Macaca mulatta: one gene and its partners. The protein of the gene in region 3 purifies or fractionates together with the protein of the main gene of each other region. This does not show direct contact. Links are inferred from orthologs where the notes say so. Each region holds a gene or a part of one and is shown on either strand. Other genes may lie near its edges. The genes, in order: CALCOCO1, WDR62 and AURKA.

The links.
Region 1: the proteins of AURKA (region 3) and CALCOCO1 purify together in Homo sapiens (affinity purification with mass spectrometry; 3 studies listed by BioGRID and IntAct, counting the BioPlex papers as one, with this or other methods). This does not show direct contact. The link is inferred for Macaca mulatta from reciprocal best matches to the Homo sapiens genes AURKA and CALCOCO1.
Region 2: the proteins of AURKA (region 3) and WDR62 purify together in Homo sapiens (affinity purification with mass spectrometry; 3 studies listed by BioGRID and IntAct, counting the BioPlex papers as one, with this or other methods). This does not show direct contact. The link is inferred for Macaca mulatta from reciprocal best matches to the Homo sapiens genes AURKA and WDR62.

Annotation. Positions count from the first base shown.
Region 1 is NC_133416.1:60,892,593-60,896,240, reverse strand, and holds part of CALCOCO1 (calcium-binding and coiled-coil domain-containing protein 1), read left to right. Parts: intron 1-277; coding exon 278-468; intron 469-1,872; coding exon 1,873-2,031; intron 2,032-2,438; coding exon 2,439-2,587; intron 2,588-3,648. UniProt on the Homo sapiens protein: Functions as a coactivator for aryl hydrocarbon and nuclear receptors (NR). Recruited to promoters through its contact with the N-terminal basic helix-loop-helix-Per-Arnt-Sim (PAS) domain of transcription factors or coactivators, such as NCOA2.
Region 2 is NC_133424.1:47,325,977-47,329,624, forward strand, and holds part of WDR62 (WD repeat-containing protein 62), read left to right. Parts: intron 1-444; coding exon 445-582; intron 583-989; coding exon 990-1,172; intron 1,173-3,309; coding exon 3,310-3,470; intron 3,471-3,648. UniProt on the Homo sapiens protein: Required for cerebral cortical development. Plays a role in neuronal proliferation and migration.
Region 3 is NC_133415.1:109,159,216-109,162,935, reverse strand, and holds the start of AURKA (aurora kinase A), read left to right. Parts: upstream 1-872; 5' UTR 873-1,087; exon of another isoform or gene 1,088-1,463; intron 1,464-3,720. UniProt on the Homo sapiens protein: Mitotic serine/threonine kinase that contributes to the regulation of cell cycle progression.

The DNA of each region.
Region 1 (3,648 bases), on a different chromosome or scaffold from region 3:
AGTGACTTAGAGACAGAAGGAACATCAGAGGACGTCTAGTCCCATGTCCTACCCAAAGAAGGAAAAACCAGGGAGTAAGGAAGATGGAAAGGTAGCATTATGTGGTGAGAAAGGAAGGAGAGGGATAGGCAGAAAGGAGAGAGAAGAGTACCCTAGGAAAAGAAATGGCCTGTGGGAGGTGGAGAAGAGAAGAAACAGTATATGGAATACTGAGCAAGGGGCTGGAGCCAAGGACAGTGGATCATTTGGGGTCCTGGGTCCATTCTTCTTCCCACAGCCAGCTACCTGCCCAAACCAGGAGCTCAGCTCTACCAGTTCCGATATGTGAACCGCCAGGGCCGGGTGTGTGGGCAGAGCCCCCCTTTCCAGTTCCGAGAGCCAAGGCCCATGGATGAACTGGTGACCCTGGAGGAGGCTGATGGGGGCTCTGACATCCTGCTGGTTGTCCCCAAGGCAACTGTGTTACAGGTGAGAAAAGAGCAACAGAGTTATTCTCAGGCAAGGGAGTGGGAGACAGCATTGCAAGAGGGCCCTTCCCACCTTACCCTCCCCTCATCTGTGGCCTCAACTAAAGACCTCACTGAAAGTTAGACAAGGTCCTGCCTTCAGGAAAATCTCAGTCTAACATAGACATACATGAACATGTAAGGCAGGAAAGGAGACCACCCACAGGCCAGTGTAACTCAGGATTTCATAAGAACTTTTGCAGCCTTCCTTCTCTACGCGCTACATACTGCCTTATGCCCTAGAGGAAGATCTAAAGGGTGGAGGGAGGCTACTCGAGGGAACATTCAGAGAAAAGGGAGCACAAGACCTGCTTCCAGGACGAGTGGGGAGTGAGAGCAGATAGGCAAGGCCCCAGATCTGTACTGTCCGATACTAAAGGCTCTTAACTATATATGGCTCTTGAGCACTTCAGATGCAATTAATCCAATCTGAGATGTACTATAAGGGTAAAATATACTCCAGATTTTGAAGACTTAGTATTTTTTAAAGAGAATGTAAAAGACTTCAATAATTTTTATTTTGACTACACGTTGAAATGATACTGTTTGGGGTTTGTTTGTTTGTTTGTTTGTTTGTTTGTTTTTCTTTTTTTTTTTTTTTTTGAGACAGCCTTGCTCTGTCACCTAGGAAGATGTTTATATCTCACATAAGTGAAAGATGTGTGATGAGCTCCTACTCTCTATTGTGTTTTCACCATTATGATTCTCATTTGAGCCCTACAACAATTCAGACTAAGGGATCATGTTACAGATGAGGACATGTTTCTTAACTTAGAGAAGTTAAGAAACTTGTTCAAAATCACATAGCCAGCTGGGTGTAGTGGCATGTGCCTATAGTCCCAGCTACTGGGGAGACACTGTGGTGGAAGGATTGCTTGAGGCCAGGAGTTTGAGGTACTGTATGCTGTGGTTGCACCTATGGCTAGCCACTGTACTCCAGCCTGGGCAGCATAGTGAGACCCTGTCTTTAAAAAAATCACATAGCTAGTAAAAATTGCATTGAAGATTTGAACCCAAGTCTGTCCAACTCCAGAGCAGATAGGGTAAAATTAAGGGAGCCATCCCTTGTGTTTGTGTTCATTGACATGCCACACAAGGGATTCCTGCAATTGCTGGGTGAGGAAAGGGCCAGGCCTAGGGTGGGGAAAGGTAAGAGGGATGGGCAATTCAGAGTGCCGTGAGCTGGTGCATCTGACTGGGTGGTGGACAGGATTCGGTAGCACACCTAGCATCCCCTTCCTCACCTCTTTATAGCCCAAAGCTATATAACTTCCCAACCCCAGAATGCACCTGGAGTGTGGTAAGGATGGAACCTTAGAAGGGGTACTCCACCAGCACACTCCCCTTCTCCTTCTGCCGCCTGTAGAACCAGCTCGATGAGAGCCAGCAAGAACGGAATGACCTGATGCAGCTGAAGCTGCAGCTGGAGGGACAGGTGACAGAGCTGAGGAGCCGAGTGCAGGAGCTCGAGAGGGCTCTGGCAACTGCCAGGCAGGAACACGCGGAGCTGATGGAACAGTATAAGGTGGGAGCTGGGCCAGGTAGGGGGTAGGGTCTGGCTGCTCATCCAGCGTGCAAAATCTAAACCCACTGAAGAGAGTGAAGGAGAGATGTTAGTGGGCTTTTATGATGGTTCTGACATCAAGAAAATAGGTTTAAGGGGTAATGGTTGGGATTAAACTTGATATGACAAGAGACGTGTTCCAAACTTGTAATGAGACTCAGTTATTTGAACATAGGAATGCTGAGGTAAGGTGGAGGTGGCCACGTTGATAGGTAAAGGAATGTTCCAGCAGTTTCTTTTTCAAGGAAGGCAATGTGATAGCCAGGTGGGAGCAGTCAGACCCTGGTGTGCTCTTCCTAAGCCTTTGTTCCACTACTTGAGAGATGAATCCCAACCTCCCTTTTCTTCTGGGGGAAACTTAATTTCAGGGGATTTCCCGGTCCCATGGGGAGATCACAGAAGAGAGGGACATCCTGAGCCGGCAACAGGGAGACCATGTGGCACGCATCCTGGAGCTGGAGGATGACATTCAGACCATCAGTGAGAAAGTGCTGACGAAGGAAGTGGAGCTCGACAGGTGAGGGGAGTCCACTGACCCCGTCACTTCCTCTCCTTTCCATGACCCCCACGCTCCAGCCCCCTCTCTCAGGCGGGCAGACCTGCTGTCTGCCTCACATGCTTTCTCTTTCCCTCCTACCCTCACTCATGCTAGTCCAATTACTGGGGATACCCTTTTCTGCCGAGCTCTCTACCATCTTTCCGCACGCTATTCTGTATTCCTTTGCTTTGGAAATAATCATAGTTACCACTTATCGTGCAGCAAAAGCTGAGCAAGAGCTAGGAGTGGAGGATTTGGAAGAAGAGAATGGATGAAAGTCAGTGCAAGATAAGAGAGGATGGATTTCAGATTTGGCAGCAGGAAAGATAAGATTGGACTGTGTTCTTACTATTAAGAAACATTAGAACTGGTGATCCAGGAATGTTATGGAATCTCTCCTCTGGAAAAAAAGATACAAATCATAGACTCTTAGCATTGGGAATGTAAGATATGTATGAGGGTATGTAAGAGGTCACCCTCAGGAGGCAGCCTCTTTAACATTTGACAGCTGTCATTTTTGTATCTCTTGTATTGAGCCAAACTCTACTCTCCTATAACTTAGCATGGGGTCCCGAGACCTCTGGAGCCACATAAAATAAATTTCTTTCTGCTTCCAGAAAGTTGTTTCCTCTACCAAGTAGCATAAATATTGACCACCACCTCCCATGTCTCCCTTCAAATTTTCACCGGTTTAAATACTCTAGTTCCTTATTTCATTAAATGACATAATTATATTCCATTTAGTACTGGTAGATGGGATATTTTAAAAAACTGTTTAAGGCCGGGCGCGGTGGCTCAAGCCTGTAATCCCAGCACTTTGGGAGGCTGAGATGGGTGGATCACGAGGTCAGGAGATCGAGACCATCCTGGCTAACACGGTGAAACCCCGTCTCTACTAAAAAATACAAAAAAAAAAAAAAAAAACTAGCCAGGCGAGGTGGCGGGCGCCTGTAGTCCCAGCTACTCGGGAGGCTGAGGCAGGAGAATGGCGTAATCCCGGGAGGCGGAGCTTGCAGTGAGCTGAGATCCAGCCACTGCAC
Region 2 (3,648 bases), on a different chromosome or scaffold from region 3:
CTATGTGACCTTGAGCACATGACATCTTCCCCTCTGAGCCTAGGAGGGTTGGGGAGAGGCGCCTCCCTCATGGGGCTATTGAGGGAATTTCATGGGTTATCCTGTGAAGGGCTCAGGGCAGGGCCCAGAGCAGGAGCACCATCCGTGACAGCCATAGGTTGTGTTGTCCTTACATCCCAGCCATGACTGTCCCCAATACCATGTGTGGGCTGCAGAGCTTAGACCCTTGGGAGAGCTCTGGAACATACTCTCCTGGGGGGACCATTCCAAGCCTCTGTCCCCTCCTCTGTGGTGAGGAATGAGCAGGTTGCCCCACATAAGTTTCCCCATACAGCAGCTCCCTGGAGGGTCCCAGGAAGACAGACTTGGAGTGGGGACGAGCAGGGAGGCCCAGGCAGTCCAGTGGAATGAGTGCTGGCACGAGCTTTGCACTTATTCTTCCAGAAAGACATCGTAGTGGCCTCCAACAAGGTATCTTGTAGAGTCATCGCCCTCTCCTTCTCAGAGGACAGCAGCTATTTTGTCACTGTTGGGAACCGACATGTGAGGTTCTGGTTCTTGGAAGTCTCCACTGAGACAAAGGTGAGTTTCTGTCCCTGGCCCTTTAACCAGGCCCTGAGGGAGTCACCATCTGTGGCAGCATGGCCTCCTGTTTCTCCCTGGGATTTGAGGGCAGCGGTCTCGGGCCATTTGACCTCTCAGGGGCCCAGCTGCTGCTTCTGGGCCTACTCTCAGGGGGCTGATGCACAGGCCCTGCCAGGAACCCCCTGACCCTGGGACCAGCTCTCATTCTTGGACTGCTGCTTCCAGCCCCCCTGTCCAGAGTGGCAGGGTTCTAGTGTTTTCTTTCCTTCTCCTCCATTTGGAAGAGCTTCTTGGAGTTCTCCTGTTTCGTTGTGTCCTATCATCTGGTCATGCAGGACCCATCGTGGCCCTGTTGGGGGCTCAGCTGTGTGGACAGTATCTCACTATGCCCTCTGTGTCTCCAGGTGACGAGCACAGTGCCCCTTGTAGGGCGCTCAGGCATCCTGGGCGAGCTACACAACAATATCTTCTGTGGTGTGGCCTGCGGTCGGGGCCGGATGGCAGGCAGTACCTTCTGTGTGTCCTACTCGGGCCTCCTCTGCCAGTTCAATGAGAAGAGGGTGCTGGAGAAGTGGATCAACCTGAAGGTACCACCTCCCTCTCTGCCATCAGTTGGACAGGCTCTTTCTCATGATATGTGTCTGCAGGGGTGTTCATTAGTATTGACCACACAGGTTCTGCTTATGTGACTAATGGTGAATGACACCCCCTCTCTGAGCTTTAGGTTCCACATCTGTAAAATGGGAGTACTGCTGCCCTCCCCACAGAGCTGATAAAGAAGTCACGTGAGATAATATAGGCAGTGAGCACCGTGCTTGGTAACCTGAAATGGGCTCAAGGTGACAGTTTTTTTCCCATTACTATTTGATCTACTTCACATTTCTCTTCTCCTTTGAGCACTCTGGCTGGTAGAGGATTGCATTTTTAAAAACTCAGAGGTATCATTGATTTAATAACTTTTCAATCAAAAAAGACTACACAAAATGCATGAACTTTTATTTATTTTTAATTTTTTTTTTTTGAGATGGAGTCTTACTCTATTGCCCAGGCTGGAGTGCAGTGGTGTAGTCTCGGCTTACTGCAAGTTCCGCCTCCCAGGTTCAAGCGATTCTCCTGCCTCAGCCTCCCAAGTAGCTGGGATTACAGGCGCCTGCCACAACGCACAGCTAATTTTTGTATTTTTAGTAGAGACAGGGTTTTACCATGTTGACCAGGCTGGTCTCAAACTCCTGACCTTTAGTGATCCACCGGTATTGGCCTCCCACTGTGCCCTGCCATAAACTTTTAAACTAAAGCATGATCTATCGATACATTGCAGAGCTTCTTTCCTTTAGTATCTGAAAGTTTGTGTCCAAGCTATTTTCCCATCTGGAATCAGTTGCCCATTTGGCTATCAGCCAGAGCGTTGTGGTTTTCTCTCCTGTTCCTTGCTTGCCTTTGTAACTCACTCCAGAGATCACCTTTGAGGTTAATGGCGTGTGAAAGAGTTCCAAGTTTTATATTTGTCCTAGTTGGTTAAACATCATTTTCTCTTTTTCAAGCAAGTGAAAAGCTTTCAATAGATAGATGTTTAGTTCCTAAACACTAAATGACTCATAAATTAAGTCCCTCTAGATTTGGAAAAACTCCTTAAACTGCGTCTAGAGGTCTAGCACTTCCTAGTAGGATAGACAGTCCTTTCTAGATACTATAACTTTTTTCTTTTTTCTTTTTTTTTTTTTTTGAGACGGAGTCTCGCTCTGTCGCCCAGGCTGGAGGGCAGTGGCCGGATCTCAGCTCACTGCAAGCTCCGCCTCCCGGGTTCACGCCATTCTCCGGCCTCAGCCTCCCGAGTAGCTGGGACTACAGGCGCCCGCCACCTCGCCCGGCTAGTTTTTTGTATTTCTTAGTAGAGACGGAGTTTCACCGTGTTAGCCAGGATGGTCTCAATCTCCTGACCTCGTGATCCACCCGTCTCGGGCTCCCAAAGTGCTGGGATTACAGGCTTGAGCCACCGCGCCCGGCCTTATAACTTTTTTCTGTACTGCTTTGGAGTATAGTCATTATGAAGTTGTTTGTAAGCAAAAGGGAATAAAATTTAAGCCTAAAGGCCAGGCGCAGTGGGTCATGTCTGTAATCCCAGCACTTTGGGAGACCGAGGTGGGTGGATCACCTGAAGTCAGGAGTTCAAGACCAGCCTGACCAACATGGTGAAATCCCATCTCAAAATACAAAAAAATTAGCCGGATGTGGTGGCAGGTGCCTGTAATCCCAGCTACTCTGGAGGCTGAGGCAAGAGAATCGCTTGAACCCGGGAGGTGAAAGTTGCAGTGAGCCAAGATCGCACCGTTGTACTCCAGCCTGGGCAACGACCAAAAAAAAAAACTCCATCTCAAAAAAAAAAAAATTTAAGCTTAACATTCAACCCTGTTACTACAAGTGACTTACCTGAAATTGCAGTCTGCTGAACAGGTATTCTTCATACATAGCTACGTTTCTCTGTAGACGGCAGTGACATCTCTGTCTCCGTTCATGTCTCTGTCTACCTGGGGACACATGTATTTCAATAGCAGCAGTATACTATACCTTGATTTCAGAAATCTTAAAATATGCTAAAATGGGTGTCTTAGACCCAAGGAACTATAAGTCTTCTCTGGAGGCCTAAGGCTGCTCTGTCAGTCCCCATGTCCCTGGGCCAGGCCACGTGAAGCACCAAATCCACTGGGGTCCCTTTTGCCCCTACAGGTCTCCCTGTCTTCCTGCCTCTGTGTCAGCCAGGAGCTCATCTTCTGTGGCTGCACAGATGGGATAGTCCGCATCTTCCAGGCCCACAGCCTGCACTACCTCGCCAACCTGCCCAAGCCACACTACCTTGGGGTAGATGTGGCACAGGGCCTGGAGCCCAGGTACTGCCCTGCAGGGAGAGGGAACGGAACGGTCGGGGCCCACCCAGAGTCTCTCCACTGACATTCATCCATGCTTCCAGATCCATATATCTGTCCATCCCACAAATACTCATCATGACTCTCAGCCCTGGGTGTTACAAAGCAGAAAAGTCCTTGCCTTCCAAGGCAAGCTTCACAG
Region 3 (3,720 bases):
CTATTCTATCCGGTCTCTTCACTTCTGAGCACATGTCGGGTGTACAAATATATATATACACACACACATTTGTGTGTATATATGTATACATGTATGTGTGTATATATATATATGTGTATATATATATTTTATGGTGGCCCAGTCCTAACTTCTCAACTCCCACAGAACGTTCACTCGCCAGGTAAACAGAAGCCTAATTATCCCCAATTTGCAGGTGAGCACACGGAGACACGAGGACAAGAACCCGATCCAGGACCGGTTACATCGCAGTTGGAAAGGCTAGAACACAGACGCCCCCTCACTATATGCGCCGCGACCATCTGGATGCAGAGGCGAACTAAGGACTGGGTGGGAATGGAAGCGAGGCCCTTTGAGGAAGAGGAGGGGGTGCAGGCCAAGCCGGGCAACTTAGGAAGCACAAAGTAGAGGCGCATGCCATCTTGCTAACTCTGGACTCTTCCGGTCTCGCCCCAGTTGTTTCTGTGGTTTTCGCTAAACGCCCCAGCCGACCGCACCAGCCACTCTCCCCGTGCCCCAGTACCAGCTGGTCCGGTTCTCTCGGTATCCCGCTCTCTCCTGGAAAAATGGAGGCGCGAATCCTGCCCAATCGACCGCTCCGAGCGCACATTCACTGCGCACGCTGAAAGGGCGCCAAGCCGACCGCTGCGCTATCGATCGGTCGCACTCTCGCTTGCTTTTCTCGCCATCTTACTTACTGGCACGTTCAAAAGGTTAGTTCACCCCCTCGGACTTTATCTCCAATGCGACAAGCTTGACGTCAAGGGGCTGCTGCCTCACCGATAAATGGCCGACCCCGGAGAGTACCCTGGGGCTGGCACTGCCACGGGTCTGGCTGGCCGTTGGCTCCGCCACTTCCGGGGTCTCAAGGAGCAAGTGCGCCTGCGCGCGGTGTGCGCCTTAAACGCGACTCAAGGCGTCGGGTTTGTTGTCAACCAATCACAAGGCAGCCTCGCTCGAGTGCAGGCCAATCGGCTTTCTGGCTAGAGGGTTTAACTCCTATTTAAAAAGAAGAACCTTTGAATTCTAACGGCTGAGCTCTTGGAAGACTCGGGTCTTTGGGTCGCAGGTGGGAGCCGACGGGTGGGTAGACCGTGGGGGATATCTCAGTGGCGACGAGGGCGGCGGGGACAAGGGGCGGCCGGCCGGAGTGGCGGAGCGTCAAGTCCCCTCTCGGTTCCTCCGTCCCTGGGTGTCCTTGGCGCTACCCTGTGCCCGCCCAGTGCCTTTGCATCCGCTCTTGGGCACCGAGGCGCCCTGTAAGACACTGCTTGTTACTTATTACAGCTAGAGGTAGAAGGGGTTTGTTGAGTGGTGTTGACACGCGCGGGAGGGGTGGGTGAGCGTCAGATTGGATTTTGTTCTCGGAGATCACCTGGGTAAGAAAAGCACAGAAGGTCGCTGCTGTGTTGGAGTTCACGTTCTAGTGGGTAGGGAGTCAGACGGTAAGCGTACAGAGAACTTGCAACTGGGGTGGGTGTTATAAGGGAAAAGCAGGAGTGCGGTTTAACGGGGGCCGCTTTAGACAGAATAGCCTAGGAAGGCCCTTGTCCTGGCTGGATGAGTGGGTGAATTGATGAATGAGAACCTCCTTGCAGAGGCCTTCCCGGTCCGTACTTCTCAGACCGTAGACCTTGAAGTAGTTATATCGGGATAACTTGGAGAGCCTTGTTAAAAATATAGCTCCACCGAGAGCCCGGAAAATCAGAATCTCTGAGGGATAGGACCCAGGTGTCTAGTTATTAGCAAACTCTCCAGATGATTCTTTGATTTCATTGAGAACTAGGGATGCAGACCGGTGCATGCAAATCGTCTGGGGATGTTAAAATGCAGAATCTGTTTTCCTAGACCTGGGGTTGGGCCTCAGAGTCTCCATTTCTAAGATCCCTCCGGCTGAGGTAGACGTAGCCACTGTCGTTAACTCGTAATGTCTCTTCCTCTTCCTTAACCTTCCTTGTCCCTTGAATTAAACGTTTTTCAGCAACCTACTCAATTCGTCCTTCCCTTCATCTCTGCAGACATGCACAGGTCTGAAGGAGGAAGGAACAAACCCGTATAAACCTCCTGTGCTATTAGCCTAACAGCTTTTCTATTCACAGTGGTAGGATTTCTGGTGTGAACTGAATAGATCCTGTGAAAGTCATCTGGTTGCAGATTAGAGTCACCTGAAGGGCAGTCTTATTGGCGTTGTCTCCAGAATTCTGGATTAGAATCTTATTCCATTCTGCTTGTTACTCAATTTCCCTAGAAAGAAAAGTAGAATAAATTGGAGCAAATGCCTGTAGCTTCTGTCAGAAGAATGTTAAATAAATGTTGTTAGGCCTCTGTGATCTCATTAGACTGCTACTTGTAATTGTAAGGGAAGTAAAGCATTAGAGCATGTGTGAAATTAAATGATTACACAAGTGGGCATTTCCTTGCTGCTGTTTATTAACTTTTTAACTTACCCACTGTTTTTTCATAAGGGCTCCCGCCTGTAGTCTGGGCCTAGCTTCATCATGGAGTTATTTGCTTAATTGTAAAATGGCAATTTTAATTTTTTTTTGAGACAGGGTCTCACTCCGTTGCCCAGGCTGGAGTGTGGGGACATTTGATAAGAAACTTCAGTGAAGGCTGCGCATGGTGGCTCATGCCTGTAATCCCAGCATTTTGGGAGTCCGAGACGGGTGGATCACCTGAGGTGGGGAGTTCCAGACCAGCCCAACCAACATGGAGAAACCCCGTCTCTACTAAAAATACAAAATTAGCTGGGCGTGGTGGCATATGCCCGTAATCCCAGCTACTCCGGAGGCTGAGGCAGGAGAATTGCTTGAACCCGGGAGGTGGAGGTTGTGGGTGAGCCGAGATTGTGCCACTGCACTCCAGCCTGGGCAACAAGAGCAAAACTCCATCTCAAAAAAAAGAGAAACCTCTGTGAAATGAAAGACTGAACTACACACCTGGGGGAAAAGCCTAATAAAGGGAGCAAGAAGTGCAAATGCCTATGGCAGGGGACTTGTTTGAGGAAAGAAAGAAGCCTTGTGTGGCTGGTGCACAATCGAGAAGAAGAGATGAAGTCAGAGAGGCAGTTAGGGTCCATGTTCTGTGAGACTTCAATAGGCCTGTCTATGCAGGTTAGGAGTTTGCATTGTTTTGATTGAGTTGGGGAGCCATGGGGGTCTTCTGAACCAAGGACCAACACATCTGACTTGTTAATGAGATTGTTGGCCTCAGTGTTGAGAATGGACCATAACGGGGTAAGGTTGGAAGTCGGGAGGCCATTGGGAGGCCGTTGCAAAAAATTCAAAGGAGAATTACGGTTTGACCAGGTGGTAGTAGTAGAGGTTCTGAGCAGTGATCTTGAAGGCAGAGCCTACAGAATATGCTCGTGGATTAGATGAGGGGTTTGAGAGAGAGAGAAACCTCTTAAAGGGTTATTATGCCAAGGCTTTTGGCCTGAGCAACTGGCAGGATGGATTTGCCATCAACTGGGATGAGGATATCTAGAGACTAGATTTGGGGAGGTGAGAGTGTGGAGGGATTAGGACTTCTGTTTGGGACATGTTAAAATGGAGATGCCTCTCAGATAATCAGGTGCAGATGTTGCGTAGAAAGTAGAAAATGTAGATCAGGAGTTCAGAGGAGAGGTCTGGGCTGAAGAATGAATATTTGGGAGTCCTCAGCCTGTAGATGGTATTGAAAGCAAAGAGACTGGATGTACTT